3 linked regions of the Schizosaccharomyces pombe genome follow. The gene in region 3 interacts genetically with the main gene of each other region. Each region holds a gene or a part of one and is shown on either strand. Other genes may lie near its edges. The genes, in order: ppk31, nup61 and nxt1.

Region 1 (7,528 bases), on a different chromosome or scaffold from region 3:
CTCATACTCCTTCAACATATACATAATTATTCCTAATCCAGCTTGTACCTTGGAGGAACGCTTCTTAGCAAGTGATAACTCATAAGCTACATCCAAGAAATACATCTGCATTTTCAAGAGATCGTTAGCAGAATCTTTCTCTTCAAACCTTTCGTTTATCTTTGCAAACCTGTTTCGGTATTGGGGAAAACTGTTGACTATCCAGTCTTCTAAGCAAACCAATGCCTGAACATTTAGAGACTGATTAACATAAGACACAGCAAGATCCATCATTAAGTCAAGATTGGTTGAATCCAATTTGACAGCTTCAAGTAGGGCTTCAACAACCCGCGATTCGTTTCCCAATAGAGTATGAATGCGACCTAACCATTTCCAGGCCTCGAAGTGCTGTGGATTCTCTTTCACAGATTGTTCCAATAACACAGCTGCTTTCGAGATAGATCCTCCATTTTTTATTAAATTCATGGCTTCAACAAATGGATCTATTCCGTTTAGCTCTTTCACAACCTCTGAAGATTCATCTTGGTTCTGTGAATATACATCTTCCGTTTGTAAAGAGTTTTCAACAACGTTATCAGTATCGCTATGCTGGAAAATTTGAGGATCTATGTTTTTATTATGAGCTAAATTATCATTAGCAAAGCTATTCACAGACGAAGTGTAAGGATCGTCAGAAATATTGTTTGACTTTAAAAAATCTTCCCATTGTTTCTGGTATTCCTCTAAACTTGCGGGCTCTAGCCCGGCGTTTTTCAATTGCTTTTGATGCTCTTCCCATAGCTCCTCAATTGATTTACTTCCAGTAGCATCCTTTTCCTTCTCTAATTTATTGGAGATTTGAGAAGCTTCCTCAAATTTCTTAGCCAACTCAGTTTCGTCAATAGCTAAAGAACTTTGTAAGGGTATTTCAGTATTTGAAGATAAATTTAGTCCAGCGGAACCAAAAAAAGATTGTTTTAAAGGTTGGTTTAAGTTTCGAAAACGGTCGTTTTCAGATGAATTGAGAAATACTTCAGAGAATTCTGATGTCCAAGCCGACTTACTATTCTGCTGCTGAAGAGAAGAAAAAGAATGTACCCAATTTTCTTTCGAGCCTCCACGAGTAGTTGTGCCGGTATGATTTCCAGTTTTTAAGCTAACTGGGTTCTTAACTACATTACCTAAAGGACTATTGTTTCCTTGGAGATTTTTGAAAGATGTGAATTGATCCTCAGACAGCGTTTGCAAAGGAGCGTAAGTACGACTTTGAGACTTGGTTAAATGTTTTCGATATTGAGCTGAAGGTGTTGAATTATTGACAACAGCTGTGGAAGTCAATTTCTTAAGAGGATTAGATAGCGTTGAACATCCTGCTTCAACAGACATTTTTGAAGAAAGTAGACTATAGCCAATATAAAGGCTCTCGACCAAAAGGAAATAGTTTTTTAAGTAGGTTGTAAGAAAATTAATATCAAAGAATGAAAAATTTCGCAACTTGATTGAATTTGCGATGTGTTTTAAAAACCAAAAATATGAAAACAAAAAAGCGGAAGAAGTAACGATGCAACTAACCAAAAAACAAAAATTGATCGCACCAATGATTGTTACAAAACTTGCGTATAAACTCAGGCATGTATTGCTGCTTATTACCAATTACAAAAATATTTAGATGAGTGCGCTCAGTTCATGTAGATGCTGAGCGTAGCACGTTAGATTAATCGCTTCTGTAATACACCACATTAACCCATATCAATTTATAATAAAGACTTTCTCTTTATTTTTTCAGACTAATCTATTGCCACTAAGGAATTTAGATTTCAACATTTTATTATACTTTTGTAAACCATGCTGCATATGTTAAAACCATAGCTTTATGATACAGAGAAAAAAATCCATATTATTTCTAAGTTCTTTTCAAATTAGTGTGATTAGAAAGTTAAACCAAGGGTTGGATTGAAGTATTAACTCTACATCTATTTATTCACCTGTTGTCTAAATTACAACGCCAAATGAATTAAATCACCAAATACTTCTGTCGCTCACAATAAAATGTATTAAAAAACTAATTAATTTTCGCTAGTCAATATTCGCTGTAACAATGGTTTTGGTTGTTTTCTGCTTAATACCAATTGATGCCACCTACAGTTCACATCCGACAAATATTTGTTAAAGAACCTGTCGCTAATTAAAGTGCTAAAAATCGCTCGTTCAAATTGTGATCTCATTATGAATTAGCATATTAGTTGGCGAATTTAATAAAGCCAAGTAATAAATTGATGATGTTATAATAACGAAAACATTGTATACAACAACAATTCCGCTTCATAAGTAAAAAAAGGTATTTAAATTATACGAGTCTTACAAACTATTAAAAGTCTTTGCCGAAAAACTATCGCGTAAGAACCATTTGCATTGATTTTACACAACTTTGAATACAATTTCTTTTATACCAAGAAGCTTAAAGTGTTCAATTATGATAAACAATGACTAATCCAGAGCAATTGAAGAGGATACTTTCCCACGAAGTTCTGCTGAAAATTGAAATGTCAAAAAATGGAATAGTGGAATATGCCAATCCTGCATTTTTTGAATTAATCGGCTACGAAGGAGATTTATTTCAATGTAGTTTCTATGAGTATCTTCAAAGCGATGATGAACACTTAATGAAGAAAGCAACCGATAATCTTTTCAGAAAAAGCATATCAGTTGCACATGTCTTTGCTTTTCTCAGATGTAATCCAATACGCAGTCCTAATTATTATATTCAACAAGCCAAAGCTCCATTTGAGGGAAAGACGTATATTAGAATGCTTTTTCGAGGCATTCTAGTAGACTCATTGTATGGTAAAGATACAAGGGTTTTGTGGGCAGGAAAATATTTATATCCACAACGGTCCGTGATCAACGAAATGGATTTCATCCTGTTTAACACGTTAGGGATTGGTGCCTTCATTCTTCATGATCATTTGCTCGGAATAATCAAATACAATTATATACACGTTCCTCCTCCTTCAGGAAAATTATGTTCGTTGTGTGAAGATAATTTACCAGAGTGGTACTTTGAGGTACATAGCGATTTTTGCCTTGTTTGGAATGATCTCGTACGCCGCGTTTTCGCCGTACAACAATTGATAAATTGTAAGAAGCTGGAAATAGAAGACATAGTTAACAAACTCCCTACGGGTAGTAATCATATGGTTGAAGAAACCTTTCTTTCCTTGCCGGTCATAACAGTATTCAACGGGAAGAAAAACAGAAAACAGAGGTTTCGCATTCGATCATGGAGAAGCTCTCTGAACTTTTTGGTTAAGGAACTGGACAAATCCATTAAAAATTTTGCTTATTTAGAACATCGAACGTTTTTGACAATTTCAAATTCTGCCGCGAAAGACATGAAGCGAGAGATTTATGAAAAATCATTGGTGAATTGGGAGTATGATTTTCTTGTTCCCTCAAAGATCCAGGATTATTTTTACGATGTTCATTCACTTCTTTTGAAAAATTTATCGTCTAAAATAAAACTCTGTAATCACATTTTAATGTATCAAGCAACGTTTAATGAAGTTAAAAATTTTCTTCAAACGTACTCCTTGAATATGCTATCAATTGAGATGGAAAACATCGAAGGAAGTCTGTACTTTGGAAATGCTCAATTGTCCAATCTAATTTGCGTAAACCAATACCTTTCCGAACAGAGACCAGTGTTTTTCAACAGGCTGTTAGCCCTTGGGAACGTTGAAAATAATAATTCAATTTACGATGACATCCAGAAACGAACAGAACGTATATCTACCATAAAAAGACATAAAAAATACTTTGAGATTGGAGAACGCTTAACAGAAAAAGACTTAATTGTGTCTAAAACCTTTAAAACAACAAGGATAGATTATTTTAAAGCGGTAAAGGGATCAATTGAAGATCTGGATGTGAGACCTCTAAAAAATCGGCAGAAATTTGTTAACAAATTCTATGCCTCGATCGTTCATTTTCTTACCGAAAGTATGCAGTTCCCAAGCCATAATGATAGGAGATTTGGGGATAATACTCCTCACTCATTAGACGAGTTCATACTTTTAAAAGAAATAAACAGAGGGGCATACGGTAGGGTTTATCTTGCTAAAAAAAGATCTTCAGGAAAGTATTTTGCTCTTAAAATGATTCCAAAATCCAGTCTTGATAGCTTAAAAAAAATAAAAGGACTATTGCTTGAAAAGCGTAACATGCATATCCAAAGATATGGACCAAACACAGTGAAATTATATTATGCATTTGATTCTGGGGACTACCTATGCCTTGTAATGGATTATTTTAATGGAGGAGATTGTGAAACACTTATTCAAAAATTAGGACCGTTACCAGAGCAATGGGTTTGCCAGTACGCAGCTGAATTACTAAATGCTATCGAGCTTTTGCATCAGGATGGAATCATCCATCACGACATAAAGCCTGCCAACATGTTGGTTGACGAAACAGGACATATTCGGCTTACAGACTTCGGACTGAGTGAAAACGTAGAGGAAAAAAAAGAGGTTTATAAGCTTACTAAGAGGATGTCATTTGAACAGAAACATGGAAATTTGTATGAGCAGCTTCAACCTAAAAAATTCGAATTTGTAAGATATGTTCGAAATTACCGCGGGAATATTGATGAGCTTGAGAAAGCGGAGAGTCCACAGCAAAATAGTGATTATGCCAATGACTCGGTCCAGCATTTACTTGACTTTGATATCAATAACATGGATGAAACAGCAATACACATGTTAATGAATCAGTTAGAGAAAAAGGAAAACCGGACATTCATCAAAAAAGATATTTCAGGGACGCCAAATTATATGGCTCCAGAAATTTTAATGGGCGTTGATACTCAGATGGGCGATATATGGGCGATGGGTTGTGTGATATTCGAAATGTTGACTGGCACGCGACCATTTGAAGCAAATACTGTAAAAGCAATATGGGCTCGCATAGAGAGAAATGATATTGGTTGGACTAAAAGAGTGAAAGAAAGCTGCTCAAAGGAGGCGGTAGACTTAATCACCAAACTCATGGATCCAGACTGTAACAAACGGCTGGGTAGCAATGGATACCAGGAAATCAAAAAACATCCTTTTTTTCGAACCATTAAATGGGATAATTTAAATAGTGGGCCAGGTCCGTTCGTTCCACAAACAGAAAATGTTGAAGATTTGACGTACTTTGAAAAAAACATAAGCGGTTCGGATAATATTAATAAAAATAATTGTCAGACGTCAGCAACTTTAATTCTAAATGGTATTTTTGCTTTTCATCCTCCTCCAAAAGCAACACCAGCTGACAGTGGTACTGAAACCTCAAACTCAGCTGCTTTCTCTGCGTCCGAGGAGGAGACCACAAATTTAACAGACCAAAAACGAAAAGATCTTTTTTCACTAATAACCAAAGCGTTTAAGGGAATAGACTTAAAGGCCCTTAATTACAACAACAAAGCCACGCTTTTGCGAATGTATGATGAGGTCGATTTCCCCAAAAATCAACAAAGAAATAAAGAGAAATTTCGAATTCAGAAACGACCTAACAAAAAGTATCGCTACCATTTATTTTAACATCATGTAAAACCATAGACATAACATGTTCGCTATCCAGAACGAATCATGATAAGTTGAAAAATGGTTAATTAATATTTCCATACAGAAACAGTAAAAAGACAAATAAACTTGTTCTACAAAATCTTTTATTCTGAGGCTTTAGCCAAATAATGCTTCTAACATAAGTTGATGTTTCCTCCTTGAATCCAAATATTATTAATAGTTGAATTTCATATATGAAAAAAAGCTATCTCATTTCACTAAACGTTTCAAAGGATGACATTTCCTATACGACAGAACATTTAAGAGGACTGAATAGTTTACGAATTGAAGTAAGTTAGAACAAAGTGTTTACCGCATATCTTTGAAAGCGTTAAATGATTTTAACAATATTTTTCGCATCGTTATTCAAGTAAGTATTATTTGACAGATTATATGATATACCTAACAATACTCCTTTATATCATTGATTTTGAACATTCGCCGAAATGTTTAGTTGGGCTAATATTGGGTCCAACGAGTATTTGCCTTTGAAAAATGATCGAAAGGCTTATTTGAATCAATGGGCAAAACGATCGGGACTAGCAATTGCCGCTATTTGCATTTTAGGAATTCTGATATTGGCAATTGTGAAATTATTTTGCTTCAAAGCAATTATTTTTCCTATCGTTGGAGGTTCCTTCAACAATGGGACCAATGTTTTTCAGTCCACTGTCATCGTAATCTCCTTGGATGGATTCCGTGCTGATTACTTATATCGTGGGTTCACACCTAATCTTCTGAGCCTGGCTGAACGTAATGTCCATGTTCCCTTTTTGATTCCTTCTTTTCCTAGTATAACTTTCCCTAATCACTATACTATTGTTACCGGTTTATATCCCGAGAGCCATGGAATCGTTAGTAACAACTTTTTTGATCCTGTAACTGGGAAGCAATTTGTCAACAGTATGCCTGAATGTAACAAAGACCCAACTTGGTGGGATAAAGGGGAGCCTATATGGGTCAACGCTGAGCGAAATAACGTTCGATCAGCGGTACATATGTGGCCTGGAAATGAAGTGGAGAATCATGGTTACAGACCTACTTATTCGGATGGTTTCAATTTTGATACGACTCTAAGAGAAAAGAAAGATAGAATACTCGAATGGCTGGATCTTCCTGATAAAGACCGCCCTCAGTTATTACTTGCTTATGCTCCCCATGTAGATATGGTTGGGCACGCATTTGGACCGGATTCGCCTGAACTGAATATCATAATTCAAGAAGTTGATATCGTAATTGGTGAACTAATTGAAGGACTGAAGAAAAGAAATATCGATAAGCATGTCAACATTATTTTTTTAAGTGATCATGGAATGGCGCCTACATCCGATAATCGTCTTATCTGGCTGGATAATATGTTTAATTTGTCTGCCGTTGCACACAGAGATGCTTGGCCGTTAGGAGGTTTTAGAGGAGAATCTGATTTAGATGATGAGTACATTTACGAAAGTCTTGTTAATTATTCTCGCTCGTCATTACCTTCTGCTGAGAATTGGAATGTTTATTCAAAGAAAGATATACCTTCTCGATGGCATTACTCAAATAATGAAAGAATAGCTCCCGTTTGGATGATCCCGGATGTTGGATGGTCTCTTGTCTCGATGCTGGATCATTCACCGGAGTTGGAGTATGAGCCTTTGGGTGTACATGGTTATGACAATTTGTCTCCAGTGATGAGAGCACTTTTTATCGCTTCAGGATCTTCTTTTAAGAATTTTAAGGGAAAGAAGCTTGCACCGTTCCAGAACACCGAAATTTATGGCATTCTTTCGCATATATTAGATTTACCAGCTCAGCCTAATAATGGTACATATGAAGGTGCTTTACCTTTAAGAAGAAATCGTAATTCTACTAAGGAATGGTTGCTGAAGGACATAGAACAAGCATACTCTAAGCTTATTTAATTCTGCTGTTTTATCACTATCTTTATATTTTTTAATATT
Region 2 (6,836 bases), on a different chromosome or scaffold from region 3:
CAGAATCACTATGCTTGCCAAAGACTTCGTTTCCTATTAAGCCAAACGTTAAAGGAAATAATGAAAAGTATTTCAAATCCATCACATCAGACCTGTATGAATGGCAGAAGGAGAATTTGAATAAAGAAGATTCTTTCGTGCTATTAGATGGGCCTCCGTTTGCAAACGGTCGACTGCATATAGGTCATGCTCTAAATAAGATTTTGAAGGATATCATCAATCGTTGGCAATTGCTGAAAGGCCGTTCTGTGCATTATGTTCCTGGTTGGGATTGTCATGGTTTACCAATCGAGTCAAAAGCTATTAAAGCAAACGCCGAGCGTAAAAGTTCTCTTGAAATTCGAAAGATTGCTAAAGATTTCGCAAATTCGGCCGTTCAAGAACAACTCATGATGTTCCAACGTATGGCTGTAATGGGAGATTGGCCTTCTAGGTACATCACCATGAGTGACAAATTTGAAATAGCAGAGCTTAAGGTTTTCTTAAGTTTGTTACAAAAGGATCTTATATTTCGTCAAAATAAACCTGTTTATTGGAGCTCTTCAAGCAGGTCCGCTTTAGCTGAATCAGAAATAGAATATGATGATAATCACGTCAGCACGTCTATCTACTTTACGTTTCCGGTGAACAGTTTTTCTATCGATGGATGTGAATACAATAATGTAAAGGCATTAGTTTGGACAACAACTCCCTGGACCATTCCTTCAAACCTTGCATTATCTTACCACCCTGAAATCAACTATGGTCTATACCAGCACAATAATTCGATTTATTTAATGTCTGATAATTTAGTTCCAAACTTGGATTTTATGCAGGGAGCTAAGCGTCTTGCGAGTTGCCCTTCAGATATTATTTCATCATTTACATATGAGAACCCTCTATTACCGAAGCAAAGCTTTCCATTTTTACAATCTAACTACGTTACTAATGATATCGGTACTGGTATAGTACATGTCGCTCCTGGCCATGGAATGGAAGATTATCTTCTAGGACTGGAAAACAATTTGCGTCCTTTTTCACCACTCGATGATTATGGTCGATACACTAAAGAAGCTTTGGATGGAAGCCTTGAAGGATTGGAAGTTCTTGGTGATGGAGGAAAGAAAGTAATAAGTATTATGAAAAATCAAAATATGATTGTTAAGGTCTCTCCTTATAAGCACCGCTACCCTTACGATTGGCGAACACATAAGCCATTAATTTTACGGGCGACCCCTCAATGGTTTATATCATTGGAGAATGAAAGGAAAACTGCCATAAAAGCACTTGATAGTGTAAAAATGATTCCTCCAAATTCGCGCGCCAGACTTCTTGGTTTTTTGAATGGCCGTCCTGAATGGTGCATTTCTCGCCAACGGGCATGGGGTTTACCCATTCCTGTATTGTATGAGAAAGGAACTAAAATCCCCCTACTAACTGTGAAAAGTGTATCCTATATCATTGAGAAAATGGAAGTAGAGGGAGTTGATTCTTGGTTTAATGATACTGAAAACAATGGGCATGCTCAGTGGGTTCATCCGGATTACAGAAATAAGGAGTATATTCGTGGCACTGAAACACTTGATGTATGGTTTGATTCTGGGACTAGTTGGACTACAATAGCACCTCGTAAGAATAAACCGCTCATTGACCTTTGCTTGGAAGGAAGCGATCAACACAGGGGATGGTTTCAGTCACTTCTTCTCACATACACTGCCTACCAATCAAAACCAGAAGCACCGTTTTCTACTTTGTTTACGCACGGATTTATCTTTGATGAAAGAGGTCAGAAACAATCCAAGTCTTTGGGCAATGTAACCGACCCTGAAGATGTAATAAACGGAAAGCTTTTAAAAGGAAAAAAGCTTCCATATGGTGTTGATTTACTGAGACTTTGGGTTGCATCATGTGACAGTACGAATGATACTAACCTGGGACCGAACATTTTGACGCAAGTTGGTGAATCCTTAAAAAAGTGGAGATTAACATCCCGATTTTGTCTTGGGAACTTACATGACTGGAATACCTCGAGCTCAGTTGATGTTGGTGAATTACGTGGTATTGATAAGTTGGCTTTAGTCCAACTAGATAAATTTCAGACTGAAATTCGAGAACTTTATGAATCATATTCAATTAACAAAGTTGTTCATCATCTCAATTATTTTATGAACTCTTTCTTATCCTCTACATACTTTGACGCCGTAAAGGATCGTCTGTACGCTGATTTACCCAACAGTGTATCTAGGAGAAGTGTTCAAACTGTCCTTTATCATTCATTACTTACGCTCATTTGGGCCATTTCTCCCATTACTCCACTTTTGGCACAGGAGATTTGGCAAAGCTTACCCGATAGTTATTTGAATTCTTCTTACCAAACTCCTTTTCACGCTGGAGAAACACATCTTATAAGCAGCTTAAGGTCAAAAGTTGATTTACTTGATAGAAAATTTTTAATTAAGGAATACTTGGTTCTTCAACAACTTAAGTATAGTATTAATTTGTTGATTACCGCAGCTCGTGAAAATCTAACTATTAAAAACTCATTAGAAGCTTATGTCGTTATTAAGTCAAAATCTCAATCTTTATTGAGTTTTTTAAAAAATTACTCTTCCGACCTTCCTTTTCTGTTCAATACATCGAAGGTATTTATTAACGAAATTCCCGAAAATCTGAAATTAGCTTCCGTTACACAACCTGAAGTTCAGTTGGATTATGGGGTTGCAAATATCTCTTTATTTTTTTCAAATCAACAAAAATGTCTACGTTGCTGGATGCATACAGCTCATGAGGACGGATTATGTGACAGATGCGAATCTGTTTTGGCCCAACTGAAACGCTAAGAAAAAAGCTGAACGCTCTTTATTATGATAATTTTTGTACCATAGTCATTTATTTTTGTAATACTTAATTAAAATCAAGCGACAATTCATTTTTTGTATTATTTTATTTTACTGTAACATTAGTAAATAAGGAGACATAGTGAAGGCCATAAGTTTGGGTGGTTTTGGGGCTAACAGTTGACCTTCGCAAACTAGCAAAATGTCAAAACGCGGTGCTGATCATCAGTTAACTAAGGATCAAGATGATTCTGATGATGACCGTCATGGTCCAGTTGAAGTTCCTAAGGAGGCCTCCGCAGACGTGATGGCCACAAGAAAGTATGTAACGATGAAACATAGTTCTTCAATTTTTTAGGTACTAATGTATTAGAATTGCAAAGCCAAAATCTAGAAAAAGACCAACGAGCGGTGTTTCTTCTCCGGGAATTTTTGCAAATTTGGCAGCAAAACCGGTGTCTTTACCTGCATCGACTACGCAATTTACATTTGGAAAACCCGCGGTTACAGCTAATAATGATTCAGATATTCACTTGAAAAAACGCGGTCTTAATAAATCATTTATTGACGCTGTTATCAAAAGTGTTGACAATAATCCCTTTGGTAATTTGAGCCCTCTGTTTGATGAATACAGGCAGCATTTTTCAAGTATAGAAAAAAAGCCAGCAGAAGGTAATGCGTTTATAGTTAGTACTTCATTTCTTTCTAACGTTTTCTTAGAACAACCAACTTCAAATGCTGTTGTGTCTGAGGTAAATCCTCAGCAACAAAAAAGCCAAGATTCTTCTTCTTTTGTTACAGAAAAACCAGCTTCTTCAGAAAAAGAGGATAAGGAGAAGCCCCTTGTTCCCCCCGGTGCTCCTAGGTTCGGATTTTCTGCTCCAGCGCTTGGTAGCTCTTTCCAGTTTAATTCATCGGCTTTTACTCCTAAAGGGTCATTTGGTGAGAAGTCCGCAACAGAAGCGGAAGCGAAGGAGAAAGAAACATCTTCTAATCAAACTGCCACTGGTACTGCCGCTACCACAACCAACCAGTTTTCATTCAATACTGCCGCTAATCCTTTCGCTTTCGCTAAGAAGGAAAATGAGGAATCAAAACCATTAACTCCCGTGTTTTCTTTCTCAACGACTATGGCTTCTGCGGATGCTTCAAAAGAGACCAAACAAACCCATGAAACTAAAGATTCAAAGAGCGAAGAATCTAAACCCTCGAACAATGAAAAATCCGAGAACGCCGTTGAACCTGCCAAGGGAAATACTATGAGTTTTTCTTGGACTCCTGATAAGCCTATCAAATTTGACACACCTGAGAAAAAATTTACATTTACCAATCCATTATCGAGCAAAAAGTTACCGGCCTCTTCGGATGTGAAGCCTCCTAGCGCTGCGGCTGTCGGCTTTTCATTTGGAACTACTACTAATCCGTTCTCTTTTGCTGCTCCGAAATCTTCTTTTCCTACTTCTTCTACTCCAGCTTCTGTTGGCGCTGAAAAAAGTGAAGAAACTTCTAATGGAAACAAATCAGAGCAAGAAGAAAAGGAAAACGGAAATGATGAAACTCGATCGAATGATTCTCTAGTTTCTGGTAAAGGAAAAGGCGAAGAAAATGAAGACAGCGTATTTGAGACAAGGGCCAAGATATACCGTTTCGATGCTACTAGTAAATCTTATTCTGATATCGGGATTGGTCCATTAAAAATTAACGTAGATCGTGACACTGGCTCTGCTCGCATCCTTGCGCGTGTCGAGGGAAGTGGAAAACTTTTGTTAAACGTTCGTTTGTGCCAGGATTTTGAATACAGCCTGGCTGGTAAAAAGGACGTAAAAGTACCTGCTGCTTCTACTGATGGAAAATCAATTGAAATGTATTTGATTCGTGTGAAAGAGCCTAGTACTGCGGAAAAGTTATTAGCCGAATTGAATGAGAAAAAGGTCTCAAAGTCAGAGAACTAGAAAGCAGTGATTGATTCAGTCACTATTTATTCCTTTATTTTTGGTCTATTAAATGTACATAAATCTAATAAATTTTTCGGAAATATATTGTCAAGATTATCAATTTAATACTGTCATTCGATTTTCATTTGTGGATAGGGATATACACAATCAGTCTTTTACGAAATGTGCATACAAATATGAAATTCCCGGAAGCATACATGCTCTCCAAGTACATTGCCTTTATGGAATATTAAATTGGTTAAGCTAGTCATATCTTTTCTTTTTAAATTTACGCAGAACATCAAAGTTTTACGGAACTGATTTAATTATCCTAATTTTCATCTTATGAATGATTGATAAATTTTTGAGTGAATTTTAAAACTGTTGTATATCGCCAGTGATATATCTTGAATTGATTGATTCAATAATCGGTTTCGTTATTAAATTACTTTTGTCTATATATTGGTTCCGGATTTTCAAACACCTGCCTAGCTTTTAGAAGGGTCAAACCCCCTTATTGAATAAGTATCTTGGCGCGAACTTTTAATAAAATAAGCAAGTAAATGAGCCACTATCAATTTCGAATTGTTAGTTTTTTGAAAAAAGTAACTTCAACAAATACGTTTGTAGCGAATTTATCGCTTAAAGTTGATTTTTTTACTGTAATTGAATACTGTATTGGACCGGCTATAATTAACAGCTTAATTTTACAAGTTAAGAGTTATAATCGATAAGTATAAATCATTTTAGGGTATCAATTTTTGACCATTCTAACACCTAATTTTTTGCATGTTTATCATAGTAAATACCCTAAAACATCCAAGTAAAAGCATAAATAATGACTACCAAAACGAGCCCATAAATAAATTTTTTAAGAGAATGAAACAAATTGTTCTAACCGAGCTTAAAGTATGAAATATTGGCTTAGCAATAATTAGATTCATGACAATTCGGATACTGATGAACTTTAACTATGTTCAAAATTTTGGGATTCCTCATCCTCTTCATCTTCTGATATATCCTCTTCATCGACTGGGTAAGTGAGAATGGCGGCAATACCTGACAACAGATCCAGCTGCTTCCCTGACTCATGCAAACTACTGAAAATATAAACAGGACAGTTAATCTCCTTAACACCTTCTACTAATGAAACCCATTTTTTTCTAGTAGCAATGTCAGAACTCCTGAACAGAGAATCGCTAATCAGAAGTTCTCCGATCGCGCCAAGTTCAAAAGCCTTCAAAACATGATTTGGACCATACCATGCCTTTCTATCATCTTCATTCATGACATCGTAAAATTTATTCAGAACGCGAATTTCTTGTACGTATTTTGTGTCGGCTAGTTTTGATTCAACAGCAGGGTCCTTCAAAATTTCATTAAGGGAATGAATATGACCAGTGCTAGAATGAAGGATGACAAATTTATTCTTTGATTTAACAATTTGTTTCAAGTCTAACTTCACGGCCATGCTGAATATGTAGTCATACAAGCCTCGAGCCACAAATCCTGGTGAAGCAAGAATAACGACTTTCAATTTATCAAAATCAAATTCTGAGTTAATGGATTGAAAAACAGAGTCATAAAATTTATCAAGGCCCTAAAAAATTGATCAGTACGGACGAAAAATCAAAGTCTAAAAATTTACCTTTTGGTAAGCGCTGCTGTCCCCTCTCCGTTTCCTTGGAATCACTTGATCAATCCTTTGACGCAGGATGGTCATATAATCTGTAATGAGACAAATATTGGCAAGACCTGCAAGTCAGTAAACATGCACGAACTAATAAAGCGATGTAAGCCAAGAAATTTACCTTCATCTAAAACCACAGCACCTATTTCAGCATTTCTTGAAGGATTACAAGCAGCATCTACACGGTCCAATGCAAATGCATCCCATTCATTTTTATATAGAGTAAAATTGCGATGTAGTTCTAAGTCCAAGGTATGGTAGGATCCCATCTTAACTTCAGGATGGTATTCAGTTGTCCGTCCTTTGATGTGCAATTGAGCAGCCTTTGTATCAAAGTCCATATTCTCAACTAAAATACGTAGTTTCATCACAACTCTTGAACCTGACGTACTTCCT
Region 3 (4,807 bases):
CCGAAGATTTTCAAAAAAACTACCAGGTTTGGCATCATAGGCAAAAAATACTTTCTTTGACTAAGAATTATGAGCGTGAACTTGAGTTTACGAAAAAGATGTTTGAAATTGACAGTAAAAATTATCATGTCTGGTCCTACCGAGTTTGGATCTTGCAAAATTTTAATGATTATTCTCAAGAGCTGAAGTTAACCAACGAATTATTGGAAAAAGACATTTATAACAATTCGGCTTGGAATCATAGATTTTATGTTTTGTTTGAAACCTCCAAGGTGGTTTCTTGGTCTTTGGAAGAGGAACTGAATTATCTGAAAGACAAAATCCTTTTTGCTCCTGACAATCAGAGTGCTTGGAATTATTTGTGTGGGTAAGTATCTCTCATTTCCATTAATTACATTCTTCATTAACTTTTTTACAGTGTACTTGACAAATCAGGACCTTCAAAACTTGATAATCTCATAGCTAATCTCCGAAAAAATTTGCCTGCTTTACACAAGCCACTCTTAGAGTTTTTAGCTATGTACGAGCCTTCGTCGTCTGAAGAGATTTATCAAAAACTAGCAAATGAGGTTGACGTACCGCATGCCGCTTTATGGACATGGATGTCCCAAAGGAGCAATCCTTAAATCTATGCTTTGAATGCTAATTGGGTTTACTGATATTTTGATAAAGCATCTTGTTTAAAATTCCTACTAATTAAGAAAGTAGTTGTGATGTATAGTGAATCGTTTATGAAATCAATAACATTAGTCATTCCTCCAATTGTAAGTTTCACATAATAGTGAACAAGTAATGGTTATTAGGCCAAACAAAGAATAAAAAAAATGTCAGAGGCATATTTTTACTTTTCTTTCTTAAGGTTTCTTCGAACAAGTTCCAAAAATCTATAGATATGTTAGTGTTCGCACAATCAATGGAATACATTCAAAAAAACATACGCAGGATCATTTTGAATTCCAGATTTTTTAAATATCTCCGTGATAGTTTCAGCTAACTGCTTGAATTCCGGATCACGAGTAATCTTTAGGATAGTAAGAGGTGACGGTTTTGAACCAGCTTCAAGGCCGTATTTCTCAAAAAACTGACGAAGACGGCCAACCTTTTGAGCAAGTTCCGGATCATTAACAACTAATGAACTCATTTTCTCTTCAAGTTTCTGGACTTGCTCATCCATTACTGGATCCTTGAAAATAGTGTCGTCAGGTTGCGTAGTCGCACTTCTCTTCCATGTTAATATACTAGGAAACCTATTCCTATACAGAAGAGCATTGTTGTATGTAAGAGGCCTTCTGATAGTCAGCTGAGACAAATACTTCCAATATTTCATATTTGTAAGGTGGTGGTTAATTTTGTGTTCTAAAGAAGTATGAGGGATTAGGGAATGTGTCGCTCAGATAAGCTTGCTGCGGCAAATTAATACAAACTCTAAACGAAATGAAATCTTTGTTTTGGATACGTATTATTCACTCATAATTCTAAAATTTTGACTGGCAATATAATACTTTGATTCTTCCTGTTGTAGAACTATATTGTCTCTTAAAGGAAGTTAGTAGAGGATCTTAGTACAAGAAGGTAAATACAATAAAAACTGACATACGAAAATACATGAGGTTTTTTTCCATCGAAACGTATTGTTCCTGAAACAACAATTATGATATTCATATCATTACCCATGACCTGTTGACTATCGAAATCCTCAACTTTAGTTTTGGAGTATGGAAGATTAACTATCATAGAGGTAAATTCGGTTACTTGCATGGGTTTTCCATTCCATAAGATCAAACTATTTTCTCTGTAAAATTCTGCGATCCCATTTCTGTTCGTATCAAGAGATGAGTAATACCGTTGGACGAACTCCTGCGCATCTTTAATTGTTAGTTTATAGATAAAGCTTTAGTAATGCGGCATTTAACATACATTTTACACTCGACTCCATAATGATTCACAATGACAGAAATTTGTAGTGGTGTAAGTAGTCATTTAAACAGGTACATGTGTTATAAATTGAAATATTGTACTCATTAAGCGATATTTAAAGATAATCTTTGTTCAACACACTGAATGGATATTTCGGCTAGATATCTTTATGACTACGATTTTTACTTATAACATGAAGAGTGGAGAACAATTATGTGTACTCATTTGCCATACTACAAAAGCATAGATCACGTAAAAACTCAACGAATGATTAATATATTAGTAAAAAAATATATATTCGAATGTAACATGATAACTCGAAAGACAATTTGTTGTAAATGAAAACAAAAAATAAATATATGTTCGAAGAAATAGGTCATTAAAAGCCATGGTATGGCAAGCGAAGAAGATGGGAGAATAAGTGGTTTAAAGCTGAATCAACATTTTTTTGACTCAGAAATGCATTGGAAACAAAATGCTTTTTTACAAGTGCTGGAAGAATGAGGGTTCTGAGTGCTACTTCCTGAGAACGAAGTTTGTTGACTTAAAGGTTGAAAACCAAGATTAAAATGATGGGTAGAAAGATTAGGTCGAGGGGATATCATTGAAATTAATGAAATAAAGTTTCTTCGTTTTGTAGAATTGGAGTTTCGGACTTTTGACTTAGAAAAAGATCTACGTAAAGGAGTTTTAGGAGATGATAATAAAGGGTTCCTTCTTCTCGGTGAAGATAAAGTATCAGAGATGACGTGCAAAATCTCATTTTGTTCTATGCTTTTATGCTTGATTGTATCCAAACCACGCTGATCTGTTAATGTTCCTGATGAGTTTGGCAACAGACAAGATTTTTTTTCCAAAGCTGAAGCATCAACTTTTCTTGTTTTATCATTGATTTTTAGTCTCACGCATGACTGAGAGGGTATAGTTTCATTACAAACATTTTCCACAAAAAGTGAAGCTAAAGGAACTTCATCTGCAAACACACAATCTGACACCATTTCATCACGAAGTGATAGATTTTTAAATTTATAGATCTGGGGAGACTGAAAATCCTCTATATGGACTGGTGAAACAGCTTTTTCCCCTGGGTTGCCAATGCTTGAGTCTAATTTTTTTTCGTATCCATTTGACGCTGAGATTTCAAGGTTGTTAAATGTAGGATCCCATATATCATCTTTTGTTTTTAAAGCTTCTAGATGTCCATTATTAACAATAATTTCACCAGTTGCAAGATCTACTTCATCAGCTATATCAGAAGTGTCGCGTCCATATTTTTTGAAAAGAGATTCCAAAAAGTCGTTGTACTTCTTTTCGGACTCAATTCTTTTACAAAACACATCATCACAAGCCGTAGGATTAGTATTAAATTCGACAGACTGAAAAGACAACAGATGTGGACAAGAATAGTTTGGAGGCAGGTCAACGGCTTTCGGTTGACGATTGCACATGATTGAAAGTTAAAATCATTTGGTATTGAGAAATTTTGTTCAAAAAATCCTTTCCAATAAATTTCTTAAGGCAAAAATTGGAGATTTTCAGTTATTAGTAGGAAAGCGATTTCAGTAGTGGTTTATTAGTGAACGGTGCCATAACTGTAGACTTGTATTAGAGTTTCGTAACTAATTCACGAATGACTTTTAGATTTAATTTCTGTTAGAACTTAGAGATCAAAAAAAAAAGATAATGAAAAGTTCTTTTGAATAGTTTATGCAAAAGTGTAATTTCAATGATGGTCGCTTAACGCTTGTAAATTAACTCATTGCTCCAAAAGACTGATTTATCTGTTCTTGCACTAATTCTATACTGTTTAAGAATTTCTAAAATACATAAAATTAATAGACATACAATTTTGTAATAATAACGAACGCTGCGATACCTTGTGGATTCCAACGAACATAGCAATTCCACATTACTTTTTTAATGATAAAATGAGAAATCAACGATACCTAAAATAAAGAAAATAAGGATACTCGTTTTGGTGAATATTACTTTGCATCATTTGCACAATTTAATAAAAAAATCCCATAAGTTGAGCATTCCATTTGTCACATCGCCCCAAAGAAGCGTGACGATTCTTTGGCTTTCTTTCACAAATAATTCGTATTAGTTGAAAGCGTTCTGTTCGACAAGTTTAGCCATATTTTGATTGTTCATTCATGTAAATATGAGGATACGTAGCGCAGCTCCTCAATAGAATTCTTTTAGAAAGTGTCTATTGTACCAACTAGTAACTATTATCAATTCCATTACAACATAGAATTGGAGAAATCATCGCTAAATAATTAGAACAAAGGATGAATTGATCTCGGCATTGTTTGCATTCTTACTAAGTGCCAAGTGAAACAGACAATAGCGAGAACAATAGAAATGTTAAACAAAACGACAGAACAATTTGGACACGATAGGGAACGTATTGTAAAATAAACTATTTTTGGCTCTTTGTGACTTAGTCTCATGAACACAGTCTTCTATAACTTGAAGCAAAACCGAGTCGTTTCATGTTTCAGTTTCTTACGGTATGCTTGTTTTGAACAATTTCTTTACCGAAGCATTCACATGAAAAGAATTACTACACCATATGGAATATGACAATAGGAATTACTCATTCCCCTCCAACAATAAACGTACCCGTTACCTGAATAGCACAGCATGCCGATGAAACAAAGGAAGTTGAGTACAGCGCAACTCTTTCAACTACTCCATAATTGCACTTTCTTTAAAACACTACACCATTGTTTGAGCATTGTATAGTTCAAATACTCGAATTTCTTTGTATTCCTTCACCATGGATCCTAAGTATAAAAAACCGCATAGAGCTCCATATTTGTCATTACATTTGAAGGTTTCGTAAAGCAAGCTGAATAAGAAACTGCAATCAGAAAAAAAAGAA

What was found.
Region 1: mutations in nxt1 (region 3) and ppk31 together harm fitness more than expected from each alone (negative genetic interaction), as found in Schizosaccharomyces pombe (one large-scale study listed by BioGRID).
Region 2: mutations in nxt1 (region 3) and nup61 together harm fitness more than expected from each alone (negative genetic interaction), as found in Schizosaccharomyces pombe (one large-scale study listed by BioGRID).

The regions. Positions count from the first base shown.
Region 1 is NC_003423.3:1,210,856-1,218,383, reverse strand, and holds ppk31 (serine/threonine protein kinase Ppk31), read left to right. Parts: upstream 1-2,462; coding exon 2,463-5,561; 3' UTR 5,562-5,694; downstream 5,695-7,528. Other genes in the region: peroxisomal targeting signal receptor Pex5, read right to left, coding at 1-1,365; npp1 (nucleotide pyrophosphatase), read left to right, coding at 6,032-7,489. UniProt on the Schizosaccharomyces pombe protein: Has a role in meiosis.
Region 2 is NC_003421.2:729,404-736,239, reverse strand, and holds nup61 (nucleoporin Nup61), read left to right. Parts: upstream 1-2,998; 5' UTR 2,999-3,018; coding exon 3,019-3,137; exon of another isoform or gene 3,138-3,189; coding exon 3,190-3,488; exon of another isoform or gene 3,489-3,536; coding exon 3,537-4,768; 3' UTR 4,769-5,369; downstream 5,370-6,836. Other genes in the region: ism1 (isoleucine--tRNA (Ile) ligase), read left to right, coding at 1-2,819; dom34 (translation release factor eRF1 family protein), read right to left, coding at 5,718-6,350, 6,399-6,505, 6,562-6,836. UniProt on the Schizosaccharomyces pombe protein: Functions as a component of the nuclear pore complex (NPC).
Region 3 is NC_003424.3:1,860,492-1,865,298, reverse strand, and holds nxt1 (mRNA export receptor Nxt1), read right to left. Parts: upstream 1,971-4,807; 5' UTR 1,937-1,970; coding exon 1,918-1,936; exon of another isoform or gene 1,866-1,917; coding exon 1,537-1,865; downstream 1-1,536. Other genes in the region: geranylgeranyltransferase type 1 alpha subunit Cwp1, read left to right, coding at 1-367, 419-626; protein dpc13, read right to left, coding at 842-884, 939-1,327; CENP-A histone chaperone Scm3, read right to left, coding at 2,355-3,365. UniProt on the Schizosaccharomyces pombe protein: Stimulator of protein export for NES-containing proteins. Also plays a role in mRNA nuclear export.